2 linked regions of the Mytilus edulis genome follow. Each later gene encodes a partner of the first gene's protein in a complex. Links are inferred from orthologs where the notes say so. Each region holds a gene or a part of one and is shown on either strand. Other genes may lie near its edges.

Region 1 (3,760 bases):
AATGAATTCAATTTTGATGTTGAATAGGGACAGAAATATTTCCTTGCAACAGGCCACCTATTTAGTATTGACCCCTCATATAAATGTTACAGCGAATGGATCTTAACCATGTTAAACATGCAGAGAGAGAGTGGCAAATTCCCTACACCATAACCAAGTGTTACTAAATACTTTACATGCCACAAAGTCAAACTGTCTTCCCACTTGTTCTGTAGCAAGGGTTTAATAACCGGATCAGGAAAATACATTCAAAGTTTTATATATCGATGTTAACTTCAGTTCACTTAACTTTATTTGTACAATTTGATGTCAATCAAACCAGTTAGGCATAATCATTAAACATAGTTATCACATCCAACCAAACTTAAATAGCATGATAAGTAAAGTAAATATATACAGGATTACCAAAAATTTTATATGAAACAGGCATTACTGTACATGTTGACAGGGGACGAAGTCTGTTTCAATCTTTGTTAATTCACTCATATTTTAATGTTCAAATAGAAAATGGAAATACCGTAATTTTTCCTATGTTGGTCCTAGCCTGTTCTTAGAAATGTTAGTTGTGACATCATTTTTGACACGACATCATTTTCAATGTAAACATAGAAACACTATCATCAGGTAATGTTTTTTTTCATATAAAAGAATAATCAACATTTTTTTTATTATTGTGCTCCATCCTAGGTTTGACTAGACTTATAAATACTTGTTTTACCCAAAGTGTCAGAACACTCGAAACCTGAGGAAAGAAAGAGATTTCTGTGCAAATGCGGGAAAATTAAAGTTTAAAAATAAAAAATTAACACTATCGAGTTCATTAGTTGATCTCATTAGGGTATAAGTGTGACATGGGAATGGCTAATATTTTTAAGCATGCACATGAAAAAAATTATTAAGCATGAAAACAAGAAAAGAGTCCAACAGGACACAGGAAATGACATACGCTTTTAAGGCAACGAGAAGCAGGATACAGGATTCTCACTAAAGAATCAGCTGGATACAGAATCGATATCAGACCCGCTAATTAGTAAGATTAAAGTATTGAGTCCCAAATTACGGTTGAAAATAAATCGGGAAAAGTTCCTGAATTTTTCATTCCACTAATGAACTCAAAATTGTTAACTTTTTTTTCAGACTTTTTTGGCGCAGAATTCTACTTTTTTTCTGGTCTTGTTTGCATGAGACTTTGAATAAAATATATATTTATCAGTCTAGTATAATATAGGATTGGAACTCAATACCAATTCATTTTTAATAATTGTTTGATATGAAAAAACGTAACCCGATGAAAGCGTTTCTTTGTTTACATTGAATATGACGTCATAACTTTAATAACATCACAACTAAATTACTAACAACAGAACCAAAATCGGATATGTAACGTTACTTTAAAATAATTCATACAGACTTCATCCCCATTCATAGGTAATGCCTGCCTCATATTGTTGATATTTCTACTGTAATTGGGGACTTCATCCTCATATTAAAGAGATTGACAGAGATGGCCAAAATATGGTGTGGATATTAGTAGCTCAATGGAAAGAGAGAAAGAAGACTTTTTGTTAAGAGACTTAAATGTGACAGTACAGGGATAAATAGTCAATGCATTGTATGTCCTTATTAGTGCAGTTTGTTCTAGAGTATGAATGATCATTTATGCATACATAAATAATGTATATACATTGAAATGAAAGTATTGGTAACTATTTCAGTGTGTACAGACATTTGTGGGTAACTGGGTTACACCATTGTTGATCAGGCTGAGGGAATCTGGGTCCATTTGCCCTAATTCACATTTGCCCTGATACCTGTTCGCCCAGGGTCCATTCACCCTGATTTTTTTTTCTTCTAATTGTTGTCCATTCACATATGATAATTTTAAGTATTTGAACAAAATTTGTTAAAGTTTGTTGAAAAATTGACAGAATATTTATATTGCTGCAATCAATCATTTTCCCTTCGGTTTACAAAGTAGAATACTGCAATACAATGTATTTCTCTTTATTGATTATGATATTTGTTAACAAAATAATTGTATTCAGTCAATCATGAATGTATACTAGTCTCAAAGTATAATAATAAATGAACTTGTAAACCTCTTTCATGATTTACAGTTCGTACATATTTTTAACAAAACAAAACATTTGATTTTTATTAATGATCCATCAAAAGACAAGTATCACAATAATCAGTGATCCGAATTATTTTGTCATTGAACAATTTAAAATGATCCTGAACAAGCCATAAACTTTTAAATGTTTCCTTGTTTCCATAAATTTCAAGAATGTATACCATAGAAATATCTGAATAAGTTTATTCAACTTCAATGTCCTGAATATTAAAAATTTTGGAGAGTTAACGGACTCGATGCCTATGGGCGAACGAACTCAGGGCGAACGTACCTAGGACATGTTATTAGGGCGAACAAACTCAGGGCGAACGAACTCAGGGTGAATGTACTTAGGGCGAACATGTTATAAGGGCAAACGGTCCCGATACCAGAGTGAGGAGATGATTTGCCTACAAATTACAATACGTCAATAGTTCCAACATTAGAAGACTTTAGTGTAACAATTAAACAAATATAACCATAGTTATACAATTAAAATAATATCCATCACATTTGATAAAGAATTTTGAAAAGGAGAAGGCGGATAACCATCACGGATTCAAGGGTTTATATTTATTTCCGCACCTATCACAAGCCGAAGGTGTTTCAGCCTGGTAATACTGTCTTTCTTGTGGTCAGAAACTTTCTGTGCTGATTTTTTAATATCCCCATGAGTTGTTTTGGTTCTAAACATAGCCAAAGCCGAAGACATTAATCTTATAGCATCAAAATGCTACATTTTTTGTAGGAAAACAGTATTTCGTCTGCAATCCTCTGAAAATGGCGATCGGACGATGCGCAGACGCGAATCTTTATTCCGTTTCCGGAAACGGGTTTCTCTAATTACCAATTTTATCATTATTTCCATTGAGCCAAAATGACCGAAATTAGCTAACATTATTATGATTATTAGAGGTGATACTTTTACTGGTTGATAATTTTTCATTTTGCTCAAAACTCAAAACAAAAATTTAATCTGTCTAAAATGAGAAATAGCGAATTTATATAAAAAAAAGTTAACAATGTATTTTTTATCTCACAAAAACAGCTGGGACCAGTATATAACAGATAACAATAAAAAACAATCGGTCAATTTTACCAAAAAACAGATAAAAACAAATTAGTGACAAGTCACTAACAACTTAAAGCACACATTTTTTTACTAAATAACAGTTAACAAAAATATGAAAATGCTTAAAATACATTGATAGGAAAAAATGCCCCCCTTTCAATGAACTTTAAAAAAAATTCTTTTCATTCGAAACTCATGGACCAATTATTCAAATCATTGTAAGACACTTTATATAGATGTTCTTGTCCGAGAAGACAATATATTTGAAATGAAATTGTAACTCGAAAAGAGCATCATTCAGTTTCGTTGCTGAACTTATGATTAAATGGGCACTAGCTGTCAAATTCATGATCATTTATGTTCACCGATTTCACTCAAATTCTCATATTCGACTTACACTAATTAAGAAAGTCTAAAATAAACAATTATTTAACGATGCATATTCTCGAGATTTTTATCAGCATCTTGTGTTTATTTTAGTCTAGACGTCATCTTAGTTAACCATCGAGATGACCTTTCGTAGGCCCGGCTGCCGACGTTTATAAAACCTGTTGTAAACATAAATATAAAAAGAT
Region 2 (3,760 bases), about 55 Mb from region 1:
ACTAGAAAAAAAACTATTTATCAATCAGGGCTCACGCTACCAGGCGACTTGGGCGAAGTAGTCGCCTTCCCGACCGTCACTTCGCTTTCCCCAACCCCCAAAAGCGAAAACAAGTAGCCCTGTTCTTGACGATACTCGCTTTCAGTCGCTTCCGTCATCGGACATTTCAATTTTTACCAAGTTGATGAAACATCAATTTTTTATTGATAATTTAAGAAATTCAGACATAAACAGTTCATTATCTTTAGAAAAGAGGTTGAAGCATTGTCTTCGCAGTGTGGAGCAGGTTATTTGATAAAAATACAACTTTTTATCACTTCGTGCATTTCCGCAAGTTCCGGTGCTTGTTACTCGAAAACGTACATCAACCAAAATTTCGGCAGCAAAATAAGTTTGTTACTTCATTTAAACGTGATAAAAGCTGCCTCCAGTAAATGTTTAATCCATTTATTGCATTAAAAACGTCATGTTCCTTTCCAAATAACTTGTCAAACATCGTTTATTTTTGTAAATTTTCTTGCATTCGTCCGCCATTGACCGATTTCTAAACTATGGATATGAATCAGACCAGCTATGACCGAAATCTGTACTTTTACAATAATTACTACGGACGCACGGATGGAACAGCTGACAGAAGAATATTGATCCCAAAGGGAAAAATTACACATTCCACACGCATTAAGAGACTTTTGGTTACATCTAATTGATTGGTGTATATAATTTCCTATATTTTTTATGGATTGTTTCAAACTATTGATTAAAGTTGCTTACCTCTAAGACTATTACACTAATATCAATATATTATGGCCCAGCTTAATAACTTTTATATTTTTTTATCAGAAACACTGAATTTCATACACACGATAATTTTCAATTAAATTGTAATTGATATATATTATAATTTTCTTTACATTTTTTAAAATAAAAAAATATTTTTTTAGTGCTAGATATTTATTTGGTAGTTTCTCACAAGAACCTTAGTAAAAATTCAACAACTTTTAATTTCAAATGTTACTTTAATTGTAATTTTTTTACTCAGATATGAATTGAACAATATAAAAAGAACATTATTGACATATGGCCCTTTATACTATTGTAAAATCCAAACATTGTAGCGCACCACACAAATAAGCACTTCTCTTTCAAATCTCACCACTTCTCCCTATCAGTTTCAAAAAGAGAAGTCACTTCTCCCTATAATTCTGAAGTAGTGTGAGCCCTGAATTCAATGAGACACTATGTTTGGCTTGTAATTTCACCTTTCTATATATATTCAGAAAGAGCTAAATACAATGTACTGTATCATAATAAAAATCACTTCATAATGAACATGGTCTTGTTAGTTTCAAGTTGATGTGACTGTAAAATACCAAAATTTTAATCTGATAAAAGAAGGAGAGTTCAGAGATACAAACATGTGTACAGACATGGAAAAAATATTGGCACTCTTGTCTTTTACAATGTGTTAAATATGAAAAATGGCATTACAGTAAATGGACCACTTTCAAGTTTGTTTGCTTTACCATTAAAAAACATAGGTTTTAGTGAAAATCATATGTGCCTTTTAGGGCAGCATAACTTCTTCCCCATGTTGGGAGAGCAGTTGAAAAAAAATAATGCTGTATTGCCGAGTTATTTGACAAATTAAATTCTCATAATTGATAATCGGAAATTGCAATTAATTACCAATGGAACAGCTAATTGTGCATAATGAGGCTTTATAAACTTAAAAGTACAGGGATACATGCAACCTCCTCTATCTAGAATGATGTCATAAAAAGGATCTTGAGGACATTCCTTGAAAGTATTCTATTTCTACTAATGATTTAAAATGAATATACCAAAGACAGAACATCAGTCATCACTATTACATTCCTTGTCCTTTGAAATAAGCCTCTAGATTTCAAATTTTTGTCTTGAATATGCAAGAACTATGTGCCTTTGGACATACAGCGAATAACAATCAATCATTTCATTACATGTATTTACAACATTTATGATTGGGAAAAATAATAATATCTGATATCATTTTATATACTCTGACAACTGTAAGGGTAGAAATGCCCTTTAATGTCAGGCATAAAACAATCGTTTCTGGCTGCTATTTGCGCCATATTGGTTTAAAGTTTTCTGAGATTTCGTCAAAATTCCCTTTTTTTATTCGTCAAAGGTCTGAAATTATTCATTGTAAACAGCATTTTGGGGGAAGATAAGTCCCAATTTTTTTCTATTGTCTAAAAGTATCGTCATAAACCAAAATCTACCGTTATTATCATTCGGCAAAAATTTTACTGTTATTCGTCATTAATCTGTTAATGACACTTGACATCAAGTTGCCCTCATAACGACCCTCAGGCCTCACCTATAAGATCAGTTTGAAAGAATCAAAGTTTTACGATTTTTAGGTGCAATGACATTGGAATATAATAATTTTTCTTAAATGTTGCAGCAATATAAACACTAAATTTCTGCCTCAGACTCACTCACTCAGTCTGATGTCCGGCTGCAACAATTTTCATTATTTTGTACATCCAAAAACATTCAGTTTCTATTTTCATCATGGTGTATTTTCTGCAATATGTGAAGTGTATATATATGTGTCAAATTCTTTTACAAAATTACCGTATTTCTGTTTGATTTTATGGTAAATGCATATCTGGTAAGTCTCTTCTGGTAGGGTTTGGTCAGTCCAAAACAGAAGGGAGGTAATTTCAAAACTTCCGGTTACAGAATCGCTAAAGAACAAGATGGCTGCGCCCATAATTCAAGTTCGTGTAACTTTTAAATTAGCTTTTATATGTTGTTTGCGCAATTTCATTTGATAAATATCTCCAAAAGTGTTATTTCTAAGGTCAATTTATGTTTATTAACATAATTTCTTCTCCTTTCATTCTTGCAATATGTTAAACACGTTGTGTGATTATATTGGGAAGACGGTATCGGGTTATTTCGCCCCTATTATATATTCGCCCAAGATTGGCCCGTCCCAAGATCTTATTCGCCCTAGTTTTAATTGATAAAATATACTTAAGTATTTAGGTTTTAATGTATGTTGGCCTTTCAATGATCGACATTTGAACTCGCAATTAAGTTTGGTATGTTTCTCAAAAGCTGTTTTTACCAGGTTTTTTGTTTACACGAATTGTAGCTTGTGGAGACAGAATGGGCTATTCCAGAAATACCCCCCCCCCCCCCCCCCCTATGGAAGACATCAGTTGTAAAAAAAAATTCCATGGAAATATTTTTCATCATTGCCAAAATTTTCAGGAATTCCAGAATTTAAAATCATTACACTACTTAAAAATACTGGAATTTTCTTCATAATTCAGATTAGTCCAAATAATTATGACGTCTTGAAAGGCTATTATAATGACGTCGAAGTAAGGTGTCAAAGAAAAAAATTATAATAGCCTTTCAAGACGTCATAATTATTTGGACTAGATTCAGATTGCATCAAATTTTATTTAAATCTATTCACTGAAAACTCAATGTTACGTACATGTATATTATCTTATTTCCGTAAAGATACATCAGAATTGATTTGAAAATAAATCAGACAAATGAGTCACCTGTGTTTTTCTTGGAAGTGCAGTTGTCCAGTAAGTTCGCCCATGTGTAGTAGTAGTACACATGTATGGAGGACCGGTTTACTATAACTTAACCAACAAGAACATAAGGAAATGATGTTTTATTTATGGACCACTAAGATAAGAACTATAGAAGAACAAAATTTTAAAAAAATCAATTCAATATGACAAAG

Evidence for each region. Proteins that work in one complex are often made in the same cells at the same time.
Region 2: ral GTPase-activating protein subunit alpha-1-like (region 1) and ral GTPase-activating protein subunit beta-like share a complex: the UniProt entries of both Homo sapiens proteins name them as parts of the heterodimeric RalGAP1 complex. The link is inferred for Mytilus edulis from reciprocal best matches to the Homo sapiens genes RALGAPA1 and RALGAPB.

Annotation. Positions count from the first base shown.
Region 1 is NC_092346.1:61,483,367-61,487,126, forward strand, and holds the start of ral GTPase-activating protein subunit alpha-1-like, read right to left. Parts: upstream 2,912-3,760; 5' UTR 2,826-2,911; coding exon 2,699-2,825; intron 1-2,698. UniProt on the Homo sapiens protein: Catalytic subunit of the heterodimeric RalGAP1 complex which acts as a GTPase activator for the Ras-like small GTPases RALA and RALB.
Region 2 is NC_092346.1:6,423,498-6,427,257, reverse strand, and holds the start of ral GTPase-activating protein subunit beta-like, read right to left. Parts: upstream 2,738-3,760; 5' UTR 2,623-2,737; intron 1-2,622. Other genes in the region: tRNA pseudouridine synthase Pus10-like, read left to right, coding at 2,748-2,768. UniProt on the Homo sapiens protein: Non-catalytic subunit of the heterodimeric RalGAP1 and RalGAP2 complexes which act as GTPase activators for the Ras-like small GTPases RALA and RALB.